7 linked regions of the Canis lupus familiaris genome follow. The protein of the gene in region 1 purifies or fractionates together with the protein of each later gene. This does not show direct contact. Links are inferred from orthologs where the notes say so. Each region holds a gene or a part of one and is shown in the gene's direction. Other genes may lie near its edges.

What was found.
Region 2: the proteins of POLR1D (region 1) and POLR3E purify together in Homo sapiens (affinity purification with mass spectrometry; 3 studies listed by BioGRID and IntAct, with this or other methods). This does not show direct contact. The link is inferred for Canis lupus familiaris from reciprocal best matches to the Homo sapiens genes POLR1D and POLR3E.
Region 3: the proteins of POLR1D (region 1) and POLR1F purify together in Homo sapiens (affinity purification with mass spectrometry; 3 studies listed by BioGRID and IntAct, counting the BioPlex papers as one, with this or other methods). This does not show direct contact. The link is inferred for Canis lupus familiaris from reciprocal best matches to the Homo sapiens genes POLR1D and POLR1F.
Region 4: the proteins of POLR1D (region 1) and UXT purify together in Homo sapiens (affinity purification with mass spectrometry; 3 studies listed by BioGRID and IntAct, with this or other methods). This does not show direct contact. The link is inferred for Canis lupus familiaris from reciprocal best matches to the Homo sapiens genes POLR1D and UXT.
Region 5: the proteins of POLR1D (region 1) and POLR3C purify together in Homo sapiens (affinity purification with mass spectrometry; 3 studies listed by BioGRID and IntAct, with this or other methods). This does not show direct contact. The link is inferred for Canis lupus familiaris from reciprocal best matches to the Homo sapiens genes POLR1D and POLR3C.
Region 6: the proteins of POLR1D (region 1) and POLR3D purify together in Homo sapiens (affinity purification with mass spectrometry; 6 studies listed by BioGRID and IntAct, counting the BioPlex papers as one, with this or other methods). This does not show direct contact. The link is inferred for Canis lupus familiaris from reciprocal best matches to the Homo sapiens genes POLR1D and POLR3D.
Region 7: the proteins of POLR1D (region 1) and POLR2L purify together in Homo sapiens (affinity purification with mass spectrometry; 4 studies listed by BioGRID and IntAct, with this or other methods). This does not show direct contact. The link is inferred for Canis lupus familiaris from reciprocal best matches to the Homo sapiens genes POLR1D and POLR2L.

What each region holds. Positions count from the first base shown.
Region 1 is NC_049246.1:12,056,376-12,060,560, reverse strand, and holds the start of POLR1D (protein POLR1D), read left to right. Parts: upstream 1-1,385; 5' UTR 1,386-1,483; coding exon 1,484-1,509; intron 1,510-2,463; coding exon of another isoform or gene 2,464-2,839; exon of another isoform or gene 2,840-3,040; intron 3,041-4,185. Other genes in the region: DNA-directed RNA polymerases I and III subunit RPAC2, read left to right, coding at 1,484-1,509, 2,464-2,839.
Region 2 is NC_049227.1:23,570,138-23,573,637, reverse strand, and holds part of POLR3E (DNA-directed RNA polymerase III subunit RPC5), read left to right. Parts: intron 1-68; coding exon 69-160; intron 161-1,092; coding exon 1,093-1,213; intron 1,214-3,500. UniProt on the Homo sapiens protein: DNA-dependent RNA polymerase catalyzes the transcription of DNA into RNA using the four ribonucleoside triphosphates as substrates.
Region 3 is NC_049235.1:33,898,179-33,901,678, reverse strand, and holds part of POLR1F (DNA-directed RNA polymerase I subunit RPA43), read left to right. Parts: intron 1-875; coding exon 876-1,017; intron 1,018-3,500. UniProt on the Homo sapiens protein: Component of RNA polymerase I (Pol I), a DNA-dependent RNA polymerase which synthesizes ribosomal RNA precursors using the four ribonucleoside triphosphates as substrates.
Region 4 is NC_049260.1:41,479,973-41,484,111, reverse strand, and holds the start of UXT (protein UXT), read left to right. Parts: upstream 1-1,339; 5' UTR 1,340-1,499; intron 1,500-1,676; 5' UTR 1,677-1,685; coding exon 1,686-1,783; intron 1,784-2,765; coding exon 2,766-2,862; intron 2,863-2,987; coding exon 2,988-3,055; intron 3,056-3,332; coding exon 3,333-3,440; intron 3,441-4,139. UniProt on the Homo sapiens protein: Involved in gene transcription regulation. Acts in concert with the corepressor URI1 to regulate androgen receptor AR-mediated transcription. Together with URI1, associates with chromatin to the NKX3-1 promoter region.
Region 5 is NC_049238.1:59,294,372-59,297,871, forward strand, and holds part of POLR3C (DNA-directed RNA polymerase III subunit RPC3), read left to right. Parts: intron 1-138; coding exon 139-394; intron 395-504; coding exon 505-690; intron 691-1,735; coding exon 1,736-1,824; intron 1,825-2,831; coding exon 2,832-2,936; intron 2,937-3,069; coding exon 3,070-3,162; intron 3,163-3,500. UniProt on the Homo sapiens protein: DNA-dependent RNA polymerase catalyzes the transcription of DNA into RNA using the four ribonucleoside triphosphates as substrates.
Region 6 is NC_049246.1:35,180,821-35,185,077, reverse strand, and holds the start of POLR3D (DNA-directed RNA polymerase III subunit RPC4), read left to right. Parts: upstream 1-1,457; 5' UTR 1,458-1,607; intron 1,608-1,820; 5' UTR 1,821-1,825; coding exon 1,826-1,990; intron 1,991-2,932; coding exon 2,933-2,976; intron 2,977-3,931; coding exon 3,932-4,083; intron 4,084-4,242; coding exon 4,243-4,257. UniProt on the Homo sapiens protein: DNA-dependent RNA polymerase catalyzes the transcription of DNA into RNA using the four ribonucleoside triphosphates as substrates.
Region 7 is NC_049239.1:45,633,313-45,636,537, reverse strand, and holds POLR2L (DNA-directed RNA polymerases I, II, and III subunit RPABC5), read left to right. Parts: upstream 1-1,476; 5' UTR 1,477-1,546; coding exon 1,547-1,641; intron 1,642-2,424; coding exon 2,425-2,533; 3' UTR 2,534-2,725; downstream 2,726-3,225. UniProt on the Homo sapiens protein: DNA-dependent RNA polymerase catalyzes the transcription of DNA into RNA using the four ribonucleoside triphosphates as substrates.

The sequences.
Region 1 (4,185 bases):
CGCCGCCGCCGCCGCCGCCACCGCGGATTTCCTGGCAAGAAGCAAACTCTGGCCAAGACTTCACTTCTCAACCGCCCCTGCTGCCTTCCCGGGGGCGAGCGCCAGGGCCCAGCAGCCCAACCCGACAAGCAGCTGGGCCAACCGGCTGCGGCGCAGGGCGGGCAGGGGGCGGGCCAGAGCGCGGCTCCGCCTATGGAAGCGCGCGGGGGGCGGGCCAGGCCGGGGCCGTCACTCCCGGGTTAGAGTGAGCCCACTCCGCCCCTGGCCGCCCGCCCTCCCCCACTCGGTCTCGGCTGCCCCCGCCCGCCTGATCCCCCCGCTGGAGACACGCTCGGAAAGTGCATCCGCGCTCACCGCCGACCGCCGCGAGCAGAGTGGAACAGCTGGGGAGGCAGTGACCATCTGGGGGAACCGGGGTGTGGGTACGAGCACAGGTGGCGAGGAAAGCAGGAATATAGGTGTGCTGGGGTGAGAGGACTCTGGGGCAAGGTGCGAGGGACCGGGACTGACCGGGCTGAGAAGGGCGACGGGGGTAGGAGGTGGAGGAAGGGAGGAGGGGGGACGGAGGGAAAAGGGCGGGGAGCGGGTGCGGGTGGCGAAAGGTTGCCGAGGCGCGGGCAGGGGCACCTGGGAACAAAGGTGAGAGGGAGGTTCCGCAGGTGAGGTTTGAACCGAAAGGGGAAAAGGAAAAGGAAATCCGGAGCAAGAGAGGGTGTACGTATTCCAGGTGCAGAGAAGACCCTGAGGGAAAGCACGGGGGAGCAAGGGGGAGAAGAGCAGTTTCCTTCCAAACTCTCGCTCCTCCCCCTAAAGATAGAAACGAAGGCTTTTTTGGACCCGTTTGAGGTGTGCGGCTGCAAGATCCCGGATGACACACACAACCTTCAACTCATCCTCGTCTGTCGTGAAATTCATCAAGGTGTACTGATCACCTGTAGTTTGCACCTGTCATCCCCCCGAACACCACCCCCCCACCCCCGTCAGGCTTGGGGTCCCGCCAGGGAGTGACACCCTGCCCCACGGGTCAAGCAGCAAGTCTGAAAGAGGCCCCATTCCGCCCTAAGAAGGACGGTGGCTTGGGGCGGCAGGTAAGGCCCCGCCCCCTCCGCCAACACCTGGCCGAAGGTGCGCCCACAGGCGGGTCTCGCCCTCGAGGTGGGACGGGAGGGCGGCCCCCCTGTCCCCGCTAGGGCAGCGGGCGGACTGGCCCCTGGAGCTCCAGGTGAGCCGGCCGGGCCTCGCAGCCGCCCTCCCCGCGCGGGGAGCTGGGCCTGTGGGCGGGGCCTGCGGGCGGAACGTACACGCCCCGCCCAGCGGCTGGGCCTCGCCGCGCCGCGCCGCTGCGGCTCCTCCTCCCTCCTTCCGTCCCCGGCTCCTTCCGTCCGTCGTTCCTTCCTTCCTGCTCCGCCCGCGTGCCTCGCGCTATGGCTTAGCGCCTCCGCTCTGCCCGCACCACCTGAGGATCCCGGAAGCCGTCCCCGCGATGGAAGAGGACCAGGAGCTGGAGAGGTAACGGCCGAGGAGGCGGGTGGGCGGAGCGGGCCGCGCCCTGCGCCGGGAGCGGGGAGCCGAGGGGCGTCCGCCTGCGGGGCCGGGGCGGCAGCGGGGGCAGCGGGGGCAGCGGGGGCCCGGCCGGGAGGACGCGGGAGGAGAGGGAGGTGGAGAGGGAGGGGGGCGCCTGAGCCGGGAGAGGGCCCCTGCTGGGAAGGGAGGGGAGGACGCACGGACGTGTCTGATAGAGGCGCCCCGTACAATTAGACGGCCCGGAGGGAGCGCAAGTTACGAGGCCGGAGTTAAGTCCCCACACCGCCCACCCCGGGGAGAACAGCAGGACTAAGTAAAACTAACGGAAGGCCGCGCCCGGGCCAGTGTTCGCCGAGTGCTCGTGTTGGGGCGTCCAGCCAGGCCTAAGCCCCTGTGACTGCGGCCCAACTTAGAGCTCTGTGTAGGCAGCTAATGAAGCGCTCCTGGGTGCCCTCAGCCCTCGTCTCCCTCCTGCTTGATTGACACTTCTCAGAACTTCCTCTCTAGTTTATCTCCTGCAGATGGAAACCATAGTGGGGCCTGCACGGTGATAATCTGCAGTCTCTATTTTTGAAAAGATGTGTTTTTGTGTGCCTTTAAATACCCTTTCATTCTCCAGCAGAGCCCACCCTACTCTAATCCTGTTCCTTTCTTGTGACTCTACCAAGAGAAAATTCTAGCTTTAAATATTTAACATTTACGTTTGTGCCCTCGTGGCCATGTGGACGGTGTCAAATGGGGTAGGGAGAAACTGGAGGCAATAATTAAGTGTTTATTGATAGAATATGTGGAGGCAGGAAAATGAGGGGTTAATACAAAATAGTTGAGTGTAATTGGAGTGCAGTAATGTGTTGCGATTGTGATATAGTAAATGAAAAAAAAGCTAGTTACCAAACCATATTCAGTATGATCTCATTTTTATAAAAAATATGTGTGTAGAAAAATATCTGGATTGAAGACCTCAATGGCTGAAGGCGAGAGGAAGACAGCCCTGGAAATGGTCCAGGCAGCTGGAACAGATAGACACTGTGTGACATTTGTATTGCACGAAGAGGACCATACCCTAGGAAATTCTCTTCGTTACATGATCATGAAGAACCCGGAAGTGGAATTTTGTGGTTACACTACAACCCATCCTTCAGAGAGCAAAATTAATTTACGCATTCAGACTCGAGGTGCTCTTCCAGCTGTTGAGCCATTTCAGAGAGGCTTGAATGAGCTCATGAATGTCTGCCAACATGTGCTTGACAAGTTTGAGGCCAGCATAAAGGAATATAAGGATCAAAAAGCAAGCAGAAATGAATCCACATTCTAGTCCCTTATGCACTATACGGGGAGGACTATCCTCTAGGATATTCTCTTCGTGATCTTGCAAAACCAGAAGTAGAAGTTTGTGATTACAACTCCATCTGCCCTTCACAAAGGCGTGCTTCTAGCTATTACCCATTACAGCTGCTGGAATCCCTGCAAGAACCTTTGTACTCATCTAATAAATTCCCTCTTTTATTTAAACTAATTTGAGTGGTTTCTGTTGCTTCATCTGGTAGATTGACTGTTTTAGGGGGTTTTTTGGTTTGTTTTTTTTTCTTTTAATTGAGCCAACAGTGAACGTAAGGAAGCTAGGAGAATATTAGAGACCTAGACAAAGACTTTGATCAAGAGAATTCAAAAGAATGTGCACTTGTGGCTATGATTGGGGAAGGAGGAGAGATGCAATAGAGCGTGAGCACAGACTGTGGTGGGTTTAAAAAAGAAAGGTGGAAGTGGGAGGAGGATTTAGCTTCTTGCTAGATATTTTTTAGTAATTCATGAGAGAATTTGCATCTTTTACTATGACTGCTGGGTTCAAGCGTGGGGAATAATTTGAAAGAATTGTGAGAATTTTGGATTCACAGGAGAGTTAGGATCTAGTTCTACCTTTGTGGTTGCATATATAGGATGGATGCCAGTTTACTGCTTTAATTTCAGGACACTAATAAAATATTTTGTCAGAAATGACCTGAGTAGGTCGAGAGTTTATACTGTAAAAGAAGAAAACTGGGATGATCAGGGAACATCTTCAGTCCTTAGGTGCGTATCTAAGTATATAGCCCAGGGTTACAATAAGGATGAAGAGAAAAATTTCCAAGTTGGGAAAGTGATTTTTTTTTTTTTTTTTTACCTTAAAATACTAGTGAACCTCTTCAAGGTGTCCTGTTAATCTCATCAGCCTTGTCTGCTAGCTGTCCTACATCAACTTGTCTCTTAATTCACCCTAAATCTCGTTAACCTTTGACCTGAGCACCTCACTCCCAGCACTCTGTGCTTTGGGGTCTTTGTTTTTGCTGTACATATTCTTGGAACACCCTTACTCTTCTACACTCTAGGGTAGGTGAGAACTTAGAGGTCAAGACTCCCACCCTGGTTTGGGGACTTGCCTGTACTTTCATTTTACTCCTGTGTTTCATGGTCTTGGATTTACTATGCTGTTGTTAGTGCTTATGTTGTCTACCCACTATACTGACTTGCAGCCCGATGCCTGATGGGTAGTAGGCAATTAGAAAATACTGGCTAAATCCATGTTGGTAGTTATGGCACGTAGCCTTTTATTCACTCCAATCAGACCTCTTTCTACTATTCTGCCATAGAAACTACATTTCCTATACTCAGTCAACATGTTTG
Region 2 (3,500 bases), on another chromosome or scaffold:
GCCACCCTCCCCACCCCAAATCTTTCCTCTTACCCTCTCCTCTAACCCACTGTCTCTGTTTTCACCAGAGACAAACCCGTGGCCCCCAGCAACGTCCTGTCCATGGCCCAGCTGCGCACCTTGCCCCTGGCTGATCAGATCAAGATCTTGATGAAGAATGGTGGGTGGACACCCACTTCCTCCAGGGGGAACCCAGCCCTACCACCTCCTGGGGAAATGGACTCTAGGACAGACTAAGGACTCAGCATGGGCCTGGCTTGACGGCTCTGGCCTTGCCTAGAAGGAATGCACCACAGTGGCCTGTTGGGCTCCCTCAGCAGGCTCTGATTCCTGTTCTCGTTCTGGCTGGGCCACTGCCCTGCTGTGAGCCTGGGCAGGCCACTGATGTTCCCGAGACTAGGGAACTAGGATAGCTCCTGAGGGCGGAGATGAGGCTTCTTCATGGCTTCTACAGAGCCTTGCACGTGAACATGAGCTCCATTCGTTCCCTTGCACTGTTTTGTGGTACCTGCACCAGGCTGCACCCAGTAGGGACTGGTGTCTTTCAGAGGACTTGGGGGCCAGAACCTGTAGGGTAGGGTGAGTCCTGAACCTCAGAGCTTAATCCCAGGCCCTGGGCTCCTTTCCTGAGATACCACTTCTAGGATCTCCAGGTGCCTGAGCAGAGGCGAGCTCCCAGCTCTGCCTGGGGCTGCTGGGGTGCCAGGCCACTGCCCTCGCTGCCAACAGGCCTTCCCCGGGCCCTTTTTGGGCCCCAGGAGTCATGGTCTTACCTTTTTTTTTTTCTGAGTACACTCCACACCAAACATGGGACTTGAACTCATGACCCTGAGATCAAGAGTCACGACTTTACCAGCTGAGCCAGGCACCCCGTAGTAGTCTTACCTTTAAGGAGCACCCCTTGGGGTGTTTCCTCCAGAATTCAGTAAGGTGGGGTGCCCACACAAGCAGCCAGTGAAGTCAGCTCTTATTATTACCCATGTGTCAGTGTTATTCACACGCTGGAGTGGTTACATGAGCCTGAAGCTGTATAGACTTGGTGAGGGAGAAGGAAGGGCCCCTTCGCTTGTCTGACATCTGTGTCCTCCTCAGTGAAGGTCATGCCTTTTGCCAACTTGATGAGCCTCCTAGGCCCCTCCATCGACTCTGTGGCTGTTCTGCGTGGCATCCAGAAGGTGGCGATGCTGGTCCAGGGAAACTGGGTGGTGAAGAGGTGAGTTCCTCTGCATGGGACCATCTGATGCATTTCAGTTCGTGATTACTGATGTTTTGGGTTTAAGTCTACCATAGCACTGGTTGTCCTGCATTTTATATCCATTCTTACCTGCTACTTGATCCTTTTTTGTTACTCCATTTCTCCCTGCTAATTTAGAAGTTACCCTTTCTGGGTTCTTTTAGTGAGTAGCCTACAGATTCAGAGTGCATTCATAACTGATCATAGTTATATTAATGGCTGTATTTTATTCTTATCCAGTACAATTCAGAGACCTTAGAATGCTTTCTGTTTATCTTCCTCTCAACTCATGTGCCATTGTATTTCTATTTTTTTATTTCTATATTTTTAATTGTAGTTTAAAATCCACAAGATGTTATTTTATCCAGTCAGTGTTCTTCAGATTTCACATATTTTCTTTTTGATTTTGCTTATCATCCCTTTCTGCATCTGAGTTTCTATCTGGGATAATTACCTCCTGCCAAAAATTGCCGGGGTGTTCCCTTAAAGAAGATCTGCAGGGGGGAGGAGTTACTTGGGTATTGTTTGGTTGCAAATATCTATTCCACCTTTATTGATTGTTTGTTTTAAGATTTTATTTATTTATTCATGAGAGACCGAGAGAGAGGCAGAGACACAGGCAGAGGGAGAAGCAGGCTCCATGCAGGGAGCCCAATATGGGACTCGATCCCAGGTCTCCAGGATCACGCCCTGGTGCTAAACCGCTGAGCCACTGTGGCTGCCCTTCACCTTTATTGTTAAAAGATATTTTTCTTGAGTGTAGGATTCGAGGTTGATGGTTTCCCTTCCACACACTGACATAGTTTCATTGTGTTCTCATTCCCATTGTTTCTAGTGATGAGTCCCTTGGTCCCCTCTGGCTCTTTCTGAGATTTTCTCTTATTGTGGCTTTCCACAGTTCATTAAGATGCATCTGAGTGTGAGTTTTGTTTCATGTGTCCCGTGGGGTTTGGAGCATGTGGCTTGATGCCTTTCAGTAGTTTCTCTTCTGTGACCCTTCCACCAGACCATTATTTTCAAGAGGGATGGGGGTAGTAGGGACTTCTATTTTGACCCCTACCTTGTGTCCCTGACACTCAGTATAATGCTTAGCATATCTCAGACCCTTGGTAGTAAGTGTAGGTGCATTTCATGTATGTCTGAATTATGTTTTTATTTTTATTTTTTAAAAAATATTTGTGTATTCATGACAGACAGAGAGAGAGAGAGGCAGAGACACAGGTAGAGGGAGAAGCAGGCTCTATGCAGGGAACCCAACGTGAGACTTAATCCCGGGTCTCCAGGATCACACCCCAGGCCGAAGGCGGCGCTAAACCGCTGAGTCACTGGGGGTGCCCTGAATTATATTTATTTTAAATAGTGTGACATTAGGTACACTAGTAAGGGCTCACTTTTTAGAAGGTGTGGTGTAAGGTGAACAATCTCTTTAAAAATTTGTTCCAAATTTTTTAACTCCTTGCAGAAGCTCCTGTCATTTCAGCTGGTTGGCCAAGTGAATTGTAGAGTCTGTTCACGTTACTGCCACCTGGTGGCGCCCTTGCACTGGTAAACTTGTCCAGTGTCTGTCAGTAGTTGGAGCTGTTGTGCCACACACGTGTTTGATTATGGAAGGTCTTTGGATGTTGGATGGCACATCCCTCATTAAGTGGGACCACCCAGGTATATTTACGTTACGAATGGGTGAGAGCCAGGAGGGGCCGTCCCCTCACTCAAGGACACTGACCCAGAGAGGCAGACACTTGCCAAACATCTGGCAGCAAGGTGGTCCCGGAGCTGGGGTTTGAGCTCTTGGCCCAGCAGTGCCTGTGGCCCTGGTGCTTCTGCCCTTTCAGCCTGGGGTCCATCCCTGTAACCTGGACATGGGGCCTCTGGGGCTGTGTGTTTTCTGGCTCCCCGGTTCTTCGGCTCCTGCTGCAAGCCCTCACTGCCATGCTGTGGCCTGTGGGTGGCGCCCCTTTCTTGCCGTGTCCCTTCTGTTTCTGTGTGGAGGTGATGCAAAATTTACACATTGTTCACGAACTATGTCGTGATTGCTTGTTCTGTGTCCTGTGCTCCACTGTCATTCCTACACTGTCCCTGCCCTTGGGAATTGTGTGGGGCAGAGATGGGCACCATTACAGATGAGCCCAGGGCACGCACCACGTTTATCCATTTGTTCAGTACCTACCTAGCAGCTCCCTTCTCTGTGTGGCAGTGATGAGCAACATAAGCCATGTCCCTGTCCCCAAAGAGTGTTTCTGGGATGGGAGTGGACACAGAGCTCGAC
Region 3 (3,500 bases), on another chromosome or scaffold:
TTTTAGAAATTTAGTAGAGTTCAACAAAAATGTGCTGGGCTCTGAAGGGCCACTACTCTAGTAGTGTGTGGAATGCAAACATATTTGCAGATAGTTCATAAAATGAGATTAAGTTCAGTGATGATGCTGTGCCATGGAATCTTCTAAGAGTGGAGGAGGAGTGATTTCATCCTTGCCTTGCTGAGTCTAGGACGTTTTCTTGATCAAGTAGTAGGTGTGGTAGTGAAGCCACCAGGTCTGCCTCCTTAGTAGTTAAAATTTGTTAAGTACTTGGAAATGACATTTTCAAATAGTAGTTGCTCCCTAATCCTGTCCCCTATGTAGACTAAAGTGGCAAAATGGGTTCTTAATAATTATAACTATATATTTCATTTATTAACATTACTATTTGTTACATACAGATGGAGTTTGAGGATTTTTCTCTAAGTCATTGGCTTTAATATTCAGGGGCTTGACCTGTGATTCTGGTAATTCTCTTACTATAGGCCATCCAGTACAGAAATTCAGTAATGGTAGATAATACCAAAATTGTCTTGATTTGGTTATACTCAGAGACATTTTTCATTCAAGTCTCCCCCCCACCCCCACCCCCACATTCTAGCATGACTAGAATTCTAATAGGTCAACCTACTGCTCATGTATAATTGGACATTTTGTTTCTGGGTACCTGTCTTGAACAGTCTTTTATTTAGTCAATATATTGGAACCTTTTGGTGAAATTGAATTACTCAAGTTGTTATGGATTAATCATATGCTATTGTGTTTTGGCATGCGTGAGTATATTTAAGAGGCATATAATTTTTGGACTCTGAATATTTAATAATTATGGCCTAGTTTAAAAGAAGATAAAAATAAATTTCTTTCTTTTCTAATAGCCTTTCAGGTGTCCCCATTGCATATGATAACATCAAAGTAGTGGGTGAACTGGGAGATATTTATGATGATCAAGGACACATTCATCTTAACATCGAAGCAGATTTTGTTATTTTCTGTCCTGAACCAGGGAAAAAGCTTATGGTATGTATTTATACACACACTTTTTTATGCTTTCTCTAATTGTATAATTATGTAATTTGGAAAATCTTAAGAGATTTGGGAAGCAAATGGATTGCTGTTGTGGTTTCCTGAAAATTATTTTTAAAAGAAAAAAAATTACTGTCCATTTAATCTTGGTAAATTTTTAAATTCCATTCTTCTCAAACTCACATGTGTATGCAGATAATGTGTCTAATAGAATTTATTCTTTTCTTTGGATAGCATCAGAATGATCTTAGGCAGTAAGAAAAAAATTTTATTTCATAATTTCTCAGTTATACACAATAGTTCCTTCATACTACTACCCTGTTCGAATCCTTTATATCAAATAGGAGTTGAAAATTCAAATGGTTGCAGGACCAGGCAGGTAATGAAAGTGAATGAAGAATGAGGTTAGAGCACCCATAACGCGCCATATGATAAAGGCCCTGTGGGATAGGTCTTTTAGTTTTTCAAAAGAAGCTGAAGTATATCCTCATATGTTCTGCACTAGCCTCTCCTACCAGTTCTGCATGTATACATTGATATATATATACATAAGAATATATATACACGTGTCTATTTTTTCCTTTAACAAAAAATTATGTAGGAATTGCATAATCATTTAAGAACTGTTAACTAACCCTTTATTGCTAATAAAAACACAGGTAAAATTTTACTGTCAAATCTGTAAGGCATTAATAATTTAAAAAAGCTTTTCAGAATCAGTTAAACTGGTAGAGCATCCTGGGCATGACCAGCTGGGATCCTACAACCAGCCTCTATACTTCTAAAGTTGGCAATAGATTTGTACTTAAAGCTGGTAACAGTTAAGTGTAGGAATTTTTGTATAAGTTACTGTAAATGTATACATGGAAGTACCACACTATACAGAAAATATGAAATGAAAAAAGAAATCAATCCTTTTACTCTATTCCCTACAATAAGATCCAGTCTTCAAATACATTTGGACAGTGTGTTCAGTTTTTTTTAATATGAAGTATAATTTACATACAATAAAATGAGATCTAATTTACATACAACAGAACGCACAGATCATAGTGTACAGTTCAATAAATTCTGGTGAGAGCATGTATTCTGTTCTATTTCAGAAAGATGCTTATGCCCTTTCCTGGTCAGTCCTCTCTCCATTCCAGAATACAACCACTGTTCTGATTACATTTATTGTGAAAGTAGTTTTGTTTATTCTAAAATTTCATGTTAATGGAATTTTTCATTATACAGTGTTTGAAAATCTGACCTCTTTTGCTCAACATGTTTTTTTTTTTTTTTTTTTTTTTTTTGCATTTCATGCATGCTGTTTGTTGTAATGGTTTCTTTTTGTTGTTCGTCGTATTCAGTTGCATGAATGTATAATTTAATTGCCTGTCTTCATCGATAGACATTTGGGCTGTTTCCATTATGGAGCTATTATGAATAAAGCTGTGAATGTACATTTTCATTTCTCCTAGGTAAAAACTAAAAGTGGAATGCTAGGTCACAGAGTAGATGTGTTTAACTTTATGAAAAACAGGCAAATTTCCCATTCAGCACTATAACTTGCTTTGCATCCTTGCCAGCATTTGGTTTTGTCACTCTTCTAATTTTACTGATGGGCATATACGAGTTTCCCATCACGGTTTTAATTTGCATTTCTCTAGAGCTCTTTTTCATGTGTTTCAGTAAGGGGCCTATTTAAGTGCTTTACTCATTTTTAATTGGGTTTTTGTATTATTGAAGTATAGTAGTTCTGTTTGTAGCCTTCCTACAGATCCTTTTCAGATCATTTGTTAATATTTTACTCCAGTTGGTAAACTTGTCTCTTTTTAATGGTATCATTTCATAAACAGAAGTTTTTAATATTGATGATCAGTTTGTCTTATTTTTTTGGTTGTTGCTTTTGGGATCCTACGTAAGAAACTTGCCTACTGCTGGATTGTGAAGATACTTTTTATAAGCTTCTAGAATTTTTTAGTTTTAGCTTTGTTATTTAGATCTGTGATAAGTCTTTAATCTTTGTGTGTAATATGAAGTAGATCCTTGAGATATATTTTCTTATTCATATGGTTATTCAGTAGTTCTAGAACCCTGTATTGAAAAGATGTTCGTTTTCCTATTATTTCCTTAATTGATAGGCTTTATTGTTTTATAGCAGTTTTAGATTTACAGAAAAAATGAGTAGAAAATAATACCTCTGTTCACTTCTCCACCCCAGCATACACAAACACAGTTGCTCCTATTGTTGACATCTTGCATTAGTGTGATAACATTTGTTACAGTTCTTAAGCTGATATTGATACATTATTATTTTTAGGGTTTAGAATTAGTTTTTCCTGTTGTACATTCTAAAACCCAGGGAATGTAAGTACAACTTAATGACCTGTGTCCTGTGTTCCCTTTACTGTATCCTGTAGAATAATTGGGTACTGCTCTCAGAATTCTCTATTTTACCTATTCACCCCTCACCTTCCTTCCATCCTCCTGAA
Region 4 (4,139 bases), on another chromosome or scaffold:
CCTTCCCATGGTGCGTGTATGCTCTCTCTCTCAGATAAATAAATAGAACCTTTTCTTTAAAAAGTAAAAAATGCTTTATGAAATGTAAGTTAGTAGATTTGCACAGACCTATCTTCAGTTCTTCAGAACTCTGTGTTGTTTTGTGTTAAAGATAATAAACATGGGGGGATCCCTGGGTAGCTCAGCGGTTTGGCGCCTGCCTTCAGCCCAGGGCATGATCCCAGAGTCTCAGGATTGAGTCCCACATCGGGCTTCCTGCATGGAGCCTGCTTTTTCCTGTGTCTCTGCCTTTCTGTCTCTCATGAATAAATAAACAAAATCTTTAAAATATATAAATAAAGATAATAAACATAACACCTCTTTTTTTCCCCATAGGAAAATGGTATAGATTAACTCAATAATAGTTGTCTAACTACCTGGTGTCTATTTCAATCACACGAAATGTAACTTTAACTATATGTAATATTTGAAGATTTACAAAAAAACATTTTAAAAAATTACATGTCCTTTCCAATCATCTTGTTCTTAGGGCAAAGAAAAGCTTGACTTGCTTAGGTTTTGAGCATTTGAAAGAAAAACTTGCCTTTACACACAAAACACACAAAGTATCTGAGAAGACATCACTGGCATGAGTGGGGGCTCTCGGCCCTATAGGCAGGCATAGCATTTGAGGGATTTGGTATCTGTGTTCTCCTTCAGGCTCAGCCAAGACTTGCTGGGTATGATGCTATTATTTGAAAATGTAACATGGGAAATAAATTCATTAACTTGAGTGCATACAAATAAATAAAAGTTTATACATTTAAATAAAGACTCAGGAACATTTCTAACTACAGAATAGCCGATCTTGAGCAGAGGACTTCAGCGACCCGCCACCTGATGCCTCTATTAGACGAGGTAATAGACATAGTGTTTTGTCAATATCTGCTTGGATCCTAGTTATGGATGGCAGGTTGCAAACTGGAGTTACCAAAGCTGAGTTTCAGAGAATCTGTCTCCGTTTAAAAAAAAAAATTTAATGCTCACATTCATTCCCATTACTGGGAATCAAACCCAAATCTCCCGTGCGAAAAATCAAAATCCATGGCGACAGTTCCCGGGATGTACTCTCCTTTTTACAAACCAGAACCATAACCAATTCTTGCCCGTCTGCTTCCGAAGCTCTGACTTTTAAATACTACACGCTTCTCTCTCGCCACCTGTGCGCCCCGCCTCCCCCAGGAACCCGCCAAATCCCATTAAGGCCCGCCCCCGCGAGCCACGCTCAGTCCCCACAGGCTCCGCGCTGCCCCGTTCCCACGCTGCGCGGCCGGGAGTACACTCGGTGGATTCCCTAAAGCCCCGCCCTCCTCTCCTCCGCTTCGCCCCTTTCCAGCCCTTCAGAACCGCCTTTCCCACCCGGCTATTCGGTTGGCCCGCGCCCTTGTGGTACGTCATTCACCCGCGCCACCCGGAAGCCACGGTTTATAGCAACCGTTCTTATTGCCGGCGGCTCTAAGGTGAGGGCCGCGTTTGGGTGTCCCTGGGTGGCAGAGTCCCAGAGTTGGGAGGGGCAGAAGGCGGAACCCCGGCCGGAGCCGAACGAGCCCACTCCCGCTGTCGAGGGGGTGCAGATGTACTGTGCCTGAGGCCAAACTGTGTGGTCAACGTGGTGTGCTCCGCTCCCCATTCCTTAGGAGCCCATCATGGCGACGCCCCCTAAACGGCGGGCGGTGGAAGCCACGGGGGAGAAAGTGCTGCGCTATGAGGCCTTCATCTGTGACGTGCTACAGCAGGACCTGCGGTGAGTGGCAGCGTGGAGGGCCGGGCGTGTGGAAGGTTCCACGTGGGGGGGCGGGGCGTCCAAAGTCAGGGTCTAGCCTTCTGATTGGTGGGAAAGGCATTTGGAGTCCAGCCCCGTGCGCCGATCCGGCGAGGAGGGGCGACATCCGGGGTGCTACTGGGCTGGGATGTGGCGGTTCTTGTAGAGGGTGTGTCCGCGCCTGTCTGGCCTCCCATCTCACTTAGCCGTGGAGCTAGATTCTAAAGCGGGAGTTCTTAGGTTCGAATCCTTGGCCTGGCCCCTTCGCCATCTGTGTGAAGACGTTGTACGCTGCCTCGACTTTGTGTGCCTCAGTTTTCTTATCTGTGAAATGGGAAAGTTCATGGAACCTTCCTCATGGGGTGGTTTTGAGTTTTTAATGTGTTCCCCCCTTGTAAAGGATTTAATGTGAATACTAGGGGCTCTATGAGTATGAAAAATTGTTACTATCACTATTAATCTGAGCAGGAAGTAGAGTGTTCAGAAGCAGGATAATGAACATCCTGAAAGGGATGGAAGATTTTTCTAGGGTGAGAATGGGACACTTTTTTTTTTTTTTTTGAGAATGGGACATCCTGATTGGACGGAATGTGGTAATAGTACTAATAAATAAGAGCTAAAACATATATAGAGCTTAGTTTTTGGTTAGGTGCTATTGTAAGTGCTTTGTAGTAAACAGTTCTCTTAATGACTTTGTGAGGTAATACTTGTCGTCCCTTTTTTAAAGATAGGGAAATTGACTCCTAAAGAGAAAATGAGTCCTAAAGAATTTGCTGAAGTCACACAACTAGTAAAAAGGAGAGCCTAGATTCAAACCCAAGCAGTCTGACTCACAATTCAAATCAACTTCTGCACTAAAATGCTTCTTTAAGGCATGGTGACATGAGGGTCTCAGTCATAATATGAGGTATTCTGACAGGTCCAGGGCTTCCTGTTGGTCACCATTTTCCTCTTGTCCCATCAGAAAAGTGCTGGACCATCGCGACAAGGTATATGAGCAGCTGGCCAAATACCTTCAACTGAGAAATGTCATTGAGCGGCTTCAGGTAAAAACAGCCAAGGTTAGGGACCATTTTGATGTGTTTGGGCAAGGGAGGGGGATGGGAGGAGAGACCCCAGACCAAAACCTGTCAGCTGACCTGAAAGGTGACCACTGACCCCTACCTCTTTTTCCCTGGCCCCACAGGAAGCTAACCCCTCGGAGTTATATATGCAGGTGGATTTGGGCTGTAACTTCTTCGTTGACACAGTTGTGTGAGTGTCTACCTGCCCCTCTGAGCCCACAGGGCTCAGCTTCCCCCTTCCTTCATGCAACAAATATTTTTTTTTGAGTATTTGCTATGTACCAGACACTGTGCTAGGTGCCGGGGATGTGACAGTGAATCGAATAGGACAAAACCCCTGCCCTCTCAGAGCTTCTAATTTGGGGAAGGTGGGAGGAGTGGAGTAAAAAAAAATTGCCAATAAACTGTATAGTATGCTAAACAGTAATAAAGACTTCCCCCACTTCCTCTAACCATTGTTTCCTCAGCCCAGACACTTCACGAATCTATGTGGCGCTCGGATATGGTTTTTTCCTGGAGTTGACACTGGCAGAAGCTCTCAAGTTCATTGATCGTAAGAGCAATCTCCTCACAGAGTAAGTCCATTCTATGAAGTGTCTAAAATACCACCATTTGCAACATCCTTTTCCCTTTCCCCATGGCTCTCTGAGATGATAGATACTTAAGGGCCCATTTCTCCTCCTCCCCAGGGCTAGGGCTGAGGAAAGTAGAGATGCAAAGCTCAGCCCCAAGAATAGCACATAGGAAGCACTCCATAAATGGTCTTGATATTGCTCACTCACACACACATTTGTTGGCTGTTCTATGCCAGGTTCTGTACTTGGCAGTGGGGAGGCCACAGTGAACAAGACAGAAGGGTTCCTTGAAGGCCTAATCTTGACCAGATCCAGAAGGTTTTGGCCTATAAATCAGTAAAACAAGTTACCTCCCGATTTCACCTCCTCCTAATTTTCTTGCTCCTTCACTGTGCTCTCACCACACTGATCTTCCTGGGCTTCTTGAAACACCCTCAGAGTGATCCCATCTTAGGGTAACCGCGCTCTCTGCCTATAACATGCTTTCCCTGGGTACATGCATAGCTTCCTTTTTCCTAACTCAGTTTAAGTCTTTTTTTATATAGTTTTTTTAAAGATTTATTTATTTATTCATGATAGACACACAGAGAGAGAGAGAGAGAGAGGCAGAGACACAGGAGGAGAGAGAAGCAGGCTCCATGCAGGAGCCCGACTCGAGACTCGATCCCGGGACTCCAGGATCGCGCCCTGGGCCGAAGG
Region 5 (3,500 bases), on another chromosome or scaffold:
AATAGCTTATCCAAATGGAGGGAGGGAAGAAGCACAGAGATCCTTAGCCAGCTCTTAGTAAATTATTAGACAAAAATTGGCAACAAAAATGAGCTATGACTTCAGATCTTTTCTTTCTTTCTTTTGCGTCCTATCTAGGTAAAAAAAGCCCTCTGTGTGCTTATCCAACATAACCTGGTGATATATCAAGTGCACAAACGTGGTGTAGTGGAGTATGAAGCCCAGTGCAGCCGCGTATTGCGAATGCTTAGGTATCCCCGGTACATCTATACTGCCAAAACACTGTACAGTGACACCGGAGAACTCATTGTTGAGGAGCTGCTATTGAATGGCAAAATGACAATGTCAGCTGTTGTGAAGAAAGTGGCAGACCGGCTCACAGAGACTATGGAGGGTTAGTACTGTACTCATAGCTGTTAGCAAAAGCGTAGATTGGCTGGCTGCAGGACTGGAACTTCAGCTAACTTAGGCAATCTCATCTGCCACTTTCATCCTGTTGTACAGATGGCAAGACCATGGACTATGCTGAGGTATCAAACACATTTGTGCGACTAGCAGACACACACTTTGTACAGCGTTGCCCCTGGGTGCCTGCCACTGAGAATTCAGACCCAGGGCCACTGCCACCTGCCCCCATTCTTGTGATCAGTGAAAAGGACATGTACCTGGTTCCAAAACTGAGCTTGATCGGTAAGGAATTTTGACCCCTGAAACTATGATTTGCCCTGGTTGTGGATTCTTCTTCAAAGATTGTTAAATTAGTGAATGAATCGATCAAGCAGTTACCAAATATTTACTCTATGCCAGATACTGTGGTGTAAAATGAAAAAACAAGTCCCTGACCTTTTGGGGCTTAAGACTAATATAAAAAAGACTTGAGTTACATTACTCAAATAATCAGATAGATGTATAACTAAGAAACTGATTAGTACTATGAATGAAAAGTATGAGATGTTATGAAAATATGTAACAGGGAACCAAATTTTTCAGGATTTAGAGCACACGCTTCTCTGAGAAAGTAGCAGTTGAGCTAAGATTTGAAACAGAAGCAGGAACTAACCAGTGAGGTAATGTATGAAGGAGTACAGAGGATAAATATTTTTACAAAAGGAATAGTGTACAATGAGAAAAAAATAGGATATTTGAGGAAGTAAAAGATGGGTCAGTGTAATTAAGGCATGGTGAGCAAAGAGAGCCATGAGATGAGGATAGAAAGATAGGGGCTAGATCATACAAGACGTTATACAGACAGCATCTGTTCTTTATCCTAAGAGCAAAGGAAAACTACTAAAGGATTTAAAGGAAGTGACATGATCTAATTTGCATTTTTAAAAGATTTTCCTGCTTGTAGATAGGATAGGGCAAAGGTAAAATGTAGACAAACCCAGTGAAAAATTAGATACAGAAAGGGTAAAGGAGACAGAAGTACTAAATGACATTTGTGTGTCTGACTTGCATGTGGGGGGAGGATGAATGGTCCTACTCACTGAAAGGAAGCGTTTGGAACAGGAACAGTTTGAGGTAGAAAGATTAGAACTTTCTTTTTTGAATATGTTGAGCTTCAAATGACTTCATCATTACTTCGAATTTCTTGGAGCTCCTCAGCCTCCCCAGCCACTTTAACCTAGAGGCAGCTGGAGATGTCTTGGGATAGAGGGAAACCTGCTCTCAGATTCAGTGATTTCCTGTCTTCATATGAGATGTAGCATAACTGTTTGCCTGTTTTATTTATCAGGGAAAGGTAAAAGGAGAAGATCATCTGATGAAGATGCTGCTGGGGAGCCCAAGGCCAAGAGACCAAAACACAACACAGATAACAAAGAGGTAATGGGGCTTAGGGGTCCTCACCCTAAGGCAAGGCAGAAAGATAACAAAGGTAACAGGCCCCAAGAGATTTACAAGGTCCTTGATTGAGAAGTAGTAGGATTAGGGATCCCTGGGTAGCACAGCGGTTTAGCACCTGCCTTTGGCCCACGGCGTGATCCTGGAGACCCGGGATCCAATCCCACGTCGGGCTCCGGGTGCATGGAGCCTGCTTTTCCCTCTGCCTATGTCTCTGCCTCTCTCTCTCTTTCTCTCTCTCTCTCTCTCTGTGTGTGACTATCATAAATAAATAAATAAACATTTAAAAAAAAAGATTTATAAAAAAAAAAAAGTAGTAGGATTAGTAGGATTATGAACTTCATTCAATATTGACCAAGAATGAACTAACAAAGTGTAAACTCCATTACTTTCTCCTTTCTGAGGCTTCATCATTAAACAGAGGTCAGATCTTATGCCAAAAAAGGGCCTTCTGTTTTCTCTCTGAAATAAGAGGCAAGGTCATGTGCTGAGAGTGGGAAGAGAGGGGTAAATAGAAAATTTAAGGATACTGGAGAAGAGTTCAGATAGAGAAAGATTAGGTAAATTCAGAGGTGAGTTTAAGGGATGCCTGGGTGGCTCAGTGGTTGAGCGGCTGCCTTTGGCTCAGGGCATGATTCTGGAGTTCTGGGATTGAGTCCTGCATCAGGCTCCCTGCATGGAGCCTGCTTCTCCCTCTGTCTACGTCTCTGCCTCTCTCTCTGTGTCTCTCATGAATGAATGAATGAATGAATGAATGAATGAATAAATAAATAGAGGTGAGTTTAGAGAATCTGAATTGGGTATTGTAAATTTGTGTCATCAAGGCCCTGATCCACATGATTGAATGATTTTTTTTTTTCCACCCCACGTGGTTGCTACTGAATAGGAAAAAAAATAGTGAACAGTTAAATCCAAGCTCCTCGCCAGAAAACTCTTCCCCATATTCACGGTATCTAAATGTTTCTCTCTAATCCTTTTCTCCTCCTCAGCCCATTCCAGATGATGGGATTTATTGGCAGGCCAACCTTGACAGATTCCATCAGCACTTCCGTGACCAAGCCATTGTCAGTGCAGTTGCCAACAGGATGGACCAGGTGGTATCTAAGTGGGTGGGACGGTGTCCCAAATCAGGAGCATTCACTTATTTGCCAGATGTAGCCATTGGCATATAGCCAGAGTCAGCACAGTGGAGTGAATTCTGAATTGTAGTTCACTTTTCAAACCCAGACCAGCAGTGAGATCGTGCGGACTATGCTTCGGATGAGTGAGATTACTACTCCCTCTACTGCCCCCTTCACCCAGCCGTTGTCTTCCAATGAGGTGATCTTCATGTTCTTGTACTACTTTTCTAACAGACTGCGGATGTGATGATTCTTATACACAGAGCCTGGGATTAGGTTGAGATCTGAGCCTTTGAAAGAGTTTTTATTGTTTGAGGTGGGACAGGGATTCTCTTCAAGTGTTAGGTACTGAAATATTGGTCTCTGGGGATCCATCCTTAAAAAACCTAAACCATTCTCCTAGCCAAAGTACAGCTATTCCCAGTTGTTCTAAGAATCCACTATCTGGAATCTGAGAACCTTTGTTGGTACTCAGAACATCATTTGGCTTCTTGTATTGCTTTTGTTCAGTATACTAGTTTTATGTATCTTAAATTT
Region 6 (4,257 bases), about 23 Mb from region 1:
GTTGTGATATTGTACTATAGTTTTAGGATATGTTTCTATTGGAGAAAACTTGAGATCTCTGTATTATTTCTTAAAACTGCATGTGTATCTGGGGCACCTGGGTGGCTCAGTTTGTTAAGCATCTAACTCTTGATTTCTGCTCAGGTCATGATCTCAGAGTCATGAGATCAAGCTCTGGGTAGGGTCAATGCTCAGTGCAGAGTCTGCTTGGGATTCTCTTTGTCTTGCTCTAAACATCAATCAATCAAAACAAAAAACAAAAACAAAAGCAAAAAAAAAACTCTGCATGTGTATCTACTACCTCAAAAACTTTACTTCAAAAAGAAAGTACAACTTCTTTTGGCCAGTTATCACGAGTCTGAAAAGTTGTCCTAGGGATAGATTCCAAAAGAAGAAAAAAAGGTTAAATGCACCAGATGTTCACTGTAGCGTTATTTACAACAGCGGGGGTGGGGGTGGGGGTGGGGGTGGTGAATCTAAGTGTCCAAACAGGAAAATAGGCAAATCATGACACAGCCACCAAGAATTATTACTCATTTGATGCGGCAACAAAGAAATGTTATTTCAAAAGGGCTTCAAAATTGTGGTACAATAGGACAGCTCTACAAGGGGATTGCAATATATTACAAAAGTTTCAATGGTAGTATTCTACGTGGAATTGTAGCAGAATTGTTTTTCCTTCCCTCAAACTCTCTGCAATGTTACGTGGGATTAATTAATTAATTAATTAATTTATTTATTTATTTTGCATGGTTTGGGGGTGGAGAGAACAGTAAAAAGGCTTTTTTTTTTTAAATGTTAATGTCGGAGTCACCATAAAAGTTCTTTAAATTCGTCCCTCCCAGTCGGAGCAAACTTCATTTTTCAATTCGGGGCTTGGAACGAGAGTGCACACAAGGGTCGGCAGTCCAGAGCCGGGTGCGTGCTGCAGTTAGCACGCTGGGTGCACTTAGGCACCCAGGTAGCCCGCGCAGCTGCCCTGGCGCAGCGCCCGCAGCCCCACCTCGGGACCCTACCAGGAGTCCGGGCAAAGGACCCCCGAGCGAGGGCGAGGCCGCAGCCCAGAGGACAGTGACCACTCCAAGGTCACCATCGAGCCCACAGCCGCGGCTCGGCCGGGCCCGGGGCGCCCCAGCCCCGCGCCCGGGTCTCGCTCCCGGCCCCGCGCCCCGCGCCCCGTCCCGAGCCGCGACCCCACTGCTCCCAGAAGCTCCGCCACGGCGAATCCCCAGGTTGGGTCGTGGCGGCCGCCGAGGCCCCACCCCGGGCTCCGAGCTGAGCGCCGCTGCCCCCTCCGCCCGGGCCAAGCCCCCAAAGCGCGGCACCACAGCGTAACCCAGACCAGACCCCTCTTCCTTTTTCGCCCTCTCAACCCAGCTTTTCCCGACTCCGGGAAGAACCGGGAAGAGAAGGCGGAGGGGAGCGAGGCGCCGCCGGATAAATACTGTGGCCCGGCCCCGCCCCCTGACCTCACTTCCGGCCCGCGGCAAGATGGCGGCGCCCGGGCCCTGCCACGCAGACTTCCGCCCGGCGCAGAGACCCGGGGCGGTGTGCGGGCCGCGTCGGAGGTGAAGTCGGGACGCGCGTGGTGCGGAGCCGCCGCCCGGGTACGCTGGGGTGCGCCTCTGCCTCGTGCCTGGCCGGGAGCCTGGGCGGAGGGCGAGCCAGGCGCTCCACCTGGGTGGTCCGGGGAGCCTTGCCACGTGGAGAGGGAGGGACGCCGGGACTAGGGGAGGCCACGTGGGTGGGGTTCCGCCCCGGGTCCGTGTGTCCGCCCCCTCGAGTGACTCTGTTTTGCCCCTTTCCTCCTTTTCTCCCAGGCAAAATGTCGCAAGGAAACGCTGCGGGCGAGCCGAGCGCCCCGGGAGGCCCCCGCCCCCTCCTCTCTGGGGGCCGGGGGCTTGTTGGGCGGCGGCCGGCGCCTCCCCTCACTCCGGGTCGCCTTCCCTCCATCCGCTCCAGGGACCTCACCCTCGGGGGAGTCAAGAAGGTACCCGACGGCGCCTTGCTGAAGAAACCCTGCTACCTCGAGTCCCAGGACCCTGGGGTTCACCTGACGCTCGCGTAGGGCCCGCCGCGTGCCAGGCTCTGTGTTGGGCCCAGGGAAACCCCGTCCCCAGACTTCTGCTGACAGATTCTAGGGAGTCTAGACACCGGGCGCAGGACCTTGACGTGGTTCTCAGAAACGGCTGAAGGGCAGAGAATCCTAATTACTTCCCAGGCAACTTGGGCAATGTTTATTTACTTTTTAAAAATGTGTTTGGGATACCTTTAAGAAACCCCTGAGAGCCAGCAGGCATAAAGTTTGCCCTCAATTTTAGAGAGTTCTGTATCCGCCATGGATTATGGTGGGCAAACTGTGATCTAGTGTAATGAATTCTAGGCAGGGCCTTGGAGGCTCAGTGTTCTTTTGCGTCGTGTTTATCACTGTAGATGTTAAGATCGTCCCGAAATTGGGGAGGGGAGGCAGCTGGTGGTGGTGATGTAGCAGAAGCATAAAGCAGCTAGTTTTCAAAGACTTGTTTGCCTTGGGAAATGCTGGTGGCAGTCTAGCTGTGTCTGTTTGTGGGTGCAGGCGGACTTTGTACTTGAGGCTTGCTGCTAGAGCTCTTTCCTGTGATATTCAATGATTTGACAAGAAGTGAGATTAGATAAATAAATTGTAGAAGTGCTCAGGGTTCTCCTTTCAGAGGGCAGAAGCTGAGGCCACTAACTAAAATGGGGTTTTGGTGCCCTGTTCAGTGTGTAAGTCCACTGCTATCATGACAGGATCTTCATTCCTTTTAAGCACATGCCTATCTCTGTAAACCATTATAACAGTAGGGAATGTAGAATGGTGGTCTTGGTCCATACAAGATCCCTTTTGAGAGTTTTCATTTTTCTCTGTACTTTGGGAAACTTAACAAATCAGTGACTCATATTTTATTTTCAGAAAACCTTCACCCCAAATATCATCAGTCGGAAAATTAAGGAAGAGTAAGTAGCTCAGCCTTCTAAAAACTTTCCCCTTGGGGCACCTGGGTGGCTCAGTGGTTGAGCATCTGCCTTCAGCTCAGGGCGTGATCCTAGGATCCAGTCCTCAGGAGCCTGCTTCTCCCTCTGCCTATGTCTCTGTGTCTCTCATGAATAAATAAATAAAATCTTTTAAAATAATAAAACAGGGAAGCCCGGGTGGCTCAGCGGTTTAGCACCTGCCTTCCACCCAGGGCGTGATCCTGGAGACCCAGGATTGAGTCCCACATCGGGCTCCCTGCATGGAGTCTGCTTCTCCCTCTGCTTCTCTCTCTCTCTCTGTCTCTTATGAATAAATAAATAAAATCTTTTAAAAAAATAACACAGATTTCCCCTATTGCTCTGAATTTGGGTCTTTTGGGAAATAACTACGTATGTGGCTCAGAAATCTAAATTTGTGTATTTTTTTTTCACTAGTGATTTTTGACCTTGGCTTCCAGGTGATTGTAACGTGCAAGTTTTAAAAAACATACTGATGCCTGGAAGTCCATCTCTGGAAATGGTGATTTAACTTTTTTGCGATGAAAGAGAGTGATTATCCTTTACGGCTGGAGTTGAGAGACACTAGTTTAGACAAAAATGTGTTCAGTTCTCACTTACATTCTTTTGTATCACAGTCTTCTTGCTTTTAAGCAATACTGAGAAGTCCACATTTAGGGGCAGTCTCTGTAATTCCACTTTTGAGTCGTAGTCCTGTTATATACTCTCAAGCAAGAAGATAAGTAAAGTGAACTGAAAGGAAACTGCCCCATCAAGGAAGTAGAAAAGGTGCTAGACTTAGGATTGGGTTCTGCTTCTTCAGATACAGTCACTGGCTCTTGATTCTCTGCTCGGGTAGAGTAGAGTGTGTGTCAGAGTAAGACCAGTTCTCTGAGGCAGAGTGAGTGAGTGGTTTCCCTTCCTCCATTCTCTTTTCCAGGCCCAAGGAAGAAGTAGCCATCAAGAAAGAGAAGCGTGACAGGGATAGAGACCGGCAGCGAGACGGGCATGGACGGGGCCGAGGCCGCCCAGAAGTGATCCAGTCCCACTCCATCTTTGAGCAGGGCCCAGCTGAAATGATGAAGAAAAAGGGTACAAAGCTTCTGGGGTTCCGGGAAGAAGAAATCCATAGATTTCAGTCCAGACTGCCCAAGAGAAGGGCAAGGGCAGTAAAATTTCCCTGCTCCCTGTGTGCTTTTCCTTGCTGTTGGCCTCTTCCATGCCCCTGGTGAACTGAGTTATTTCCCACAGGGAACTGGGATAAGA
Region 7 (3,225 bases), on another chromosome or scaffold:
CCTGCACAGTTGCCAATAGTCTCTGCAGGGGAGCCTGGGTCTGACCCCAGGCCACCGTGACTCCAGGCCCCCTCTCCTGTCCCTCTTGTCCAGGCACAGGATGTGCGTCCAGTGGGTGGGGTGGGGGGGCAGCTGGGAAGGGAAGTGGCCTCTCTCGTGGCTCTGCACGTGGCAGCGTGGAGGATGACAAATGCACTGGGCAGGCTGTCCAGGGCCCAGGCAGAGGTGGCCAGCGCCTCCCAGGCCCCAGGGGACCCTCAGGCTCCCTCCCTGAAGCTGAGGCCAGAATCCACCACCCACCGTGGGAGGGTGGGGAGTACAGGCCCCACTCATGCCCAGCCCACCTGACTAGCTGACACCCGCCCCCCCCCCCCCCCCCGCAGGCGCTGCTCTGGAACACATCCATCCCCACAGCCCCAAAGTCTGCCTCCTCCAGGGAGCCCTCCCTGCCTCCCCCCACACAGATCTGCACACACCCCCCCCCCGTGGCCCCCGGATCGAGGAGCTCACCTCACCCCGCCCCCAGGGACACAGCCTCATCGTCCCTTCCACCCTCTGTGGCTGCTGCCCCACCATCTCTGACTCCACCACCTACTCCAGCCCTGGCACGAACCCGCGGCCTAGAGCTGCCCGCAGGTATGGCCTCCAGGGCCCTATCCAAGGGGTCCCCCGGCCAGGATCAATGCGCTCCCCGACACACGCGGGCTCTGCAGGGCGCCTCTTCCACGCCGCCCTCCAGGACCACCCGCTCCAGCCTCCGCCCTGCTCTGAGTCCTCAGAGCCCCGACCGCCCGCACCCCCAGGCCCTTCCCCCAGGGCCGCAGAGGGCAGGCTGGGGCGCTGGGGGGGCAGGAGCTGCGGCCGAGCCGGCCGTCGGGGCTACAGTGCGGCCGAGCGGGCCGGGCCGGGGCGGGGACAGCCTTCGCCGCGCCGGGCCGGGAGGGGCCGCGGGAAGGTCCCTCCGGGGCCCCCCTGCCCCCGCCCCCCGCCGCGGGTCCCCGCGCCCCCGGCCCCGGCCCGGCCCCGCCACTTGTTGCTGCGGCTCGGCTCGGGGCTCCAACTCTGCGCCCGCTCGGCTCGGCCCCGGCTCGGGTCCGGGTCCCGGTCGGGGGTTCCGAGGGGCGGGACCTCGGCCGCATCCCCGCGGACCGGCTCTGTACCTGCGCGCGGTCCGCCCGCCGCGCAGCTGTCAGTCATGCGGACACGAGGAAGGCGAAGCGCCGCCGTCGGGCCCTTTCGGTCCCGCTAGGCCGCCGTAGGCCGGGACGTACCAAGGCGAAGGGCCGGGGGGGGGGCGACGCTTGCTCCGGTAGCGGCCGCGTGGGCCCCGGAGCCCCCGGTCCGCGCGGAAGGAGCTCGGCCCGGCAGGGAACGGACGGCGGCGGCAGTGGGGCCGGGGGGCGGGCCGGGGGCGGCCGGGGGCGTGGCGGGACTGGGACTTCTCCCCCCCGCGCCATGGACGCGCCCTCGGCGGGGCCTGCTCCCGGGCGGAAGCGCCGCCCCGTCTGCCAGTCCCCGCGCCGCCGCCGCCGCCGCCGCCAGCGCCATGATCATCCCGGTCCGCTGCTTCACCTGCGGCAAGATCGTCGGCAACAAGTGGGAAGCCTACCTGGGGCTGCTGCAGGCCGAGTACACCGAGGGGTGAGGCTCCGGGCCGGGCGGCGTGCGGAGCCGGGGCCGCGGGGGGCGGGGGGGGCCCTGCTGGGCGCGGGGCCGGCGGGTCGGGCCGGGGCGCGGGGGGCGGGGCGCGGGGCGCGGGGGGCCCCGGAGGGACCAGGTGCCGGCCGCGAGCAAGGGGGCAGGCGGGCAGCGGGACTGCGGGACCGCGGGGACTTGCACACGGACCCCGGCAGGTCGTGGCTCCTGCCCGGAGCAGTTCGGGGCTCCCTGCCCTCCCGCCCTCGGAGGCCCCCGCGCCCGCGAGCCCGCGGCTCTGGGGTCGTGGGCCGGGCTTCCTGGCCACGGAGCCCTGCGGAGCGGGCCGTCCCGGGGCCGCTCTCCCGTCGCTGCCCGTCAGCGCGGGCGTCAGCACCGGCCTCGCGGGCGTCTGCACCTTTAACCCCGGCCTGCGGCGTTTGGGGTGAGCGGGGAGGCCAGGTTGCTGGGGAGTCTGTCGGAAAGACCGAGTGTGAGGGAACCGGCCGGAGGCCCTGGAAGCCCCGGGCAGGAACCGCCCAGCCCTGCGGCTTCCCAGCTCGGCGGCGCTGCACGTCGGAGCAGTGCTCTGGGGATTTTCTGGAAGCCCTTGGGGCAACAGGGGCTGGGCCCCAGGGACACTGACAACTCTAATCGGCTTGGGAAACGGCAGAGAGACGGCTCCCTCCGCGGGGGCGGGGAGGGGGGGCTTGCTCCAGCAGGGTTCGGGTCCTCCGTGTGCCCAGGACTGCCTGCCCCAACCGGGTGTGATCTGCCCCTCACCCACAGAGATGCCCTGGATGCGCTGGGCCTGAAGCGCTACTGCTGCCGCCGCATGCTGCTGGCACACGTGGACCTGATTGAGAAGCTGCTCAACTACGCGCCTCTGGAGAAGTGACAAGTGACCTGCTCACGCCCGTCACCCGGTCACCCGCTGTGCTCACCAGGGGCCGTCTGCGCCGTGCCCCCAGGCACTCCAGTGTGGTCGGGGTGGCATGGAGCATGCCTGTCCACCACCTGTGGATGTGTGTCCCTGCTCTGGAAAGAACTGTCCATTAAAGGTCTTTGCAGAACCATGAAGAGGTCCTAACAGTTGGCCTGGCTTTGTGGGACTCCCTGGTGTTTCTGTGTCCTGCCTCATGCTTGAAGCTGTTTGGGGATAGACGTGGCTCTCACCGTTCAGGGCCCAGAGGTGGCGGGGGTGGTGGAGGGCATCTCACAGCCCAGTGACAGTACACAGACAGCCAAGAGCACTCAGGTTGAGGGTCAGGAGACATTGGCCTGCCCACCACCAGGTTCTGGTTGACCTTTAGGACAAGCACGGAGATCCTCACATCCCTTCCCAGGATCTCAACAACCAGATATTTGAGCCCTGAGTGGAATAACTGCTGCAGTCTCGGCTGCCCATCCTGAGATCTTGCTGCCAGAAGCTTCTAGGCTCCAGCCAAGTTCCTGTGGAGGGGCAGGGATGGTGCCCAGCCTCCATAGCCAGCACTGAGACCCGCACAGTGGGTTGAGGGTGGCCCTGAGGAGGCTCTGCTGGGTGTCAGGGTTTGCCAAGCTCCCGGTGGCCTGGGTATTAGCACTTAA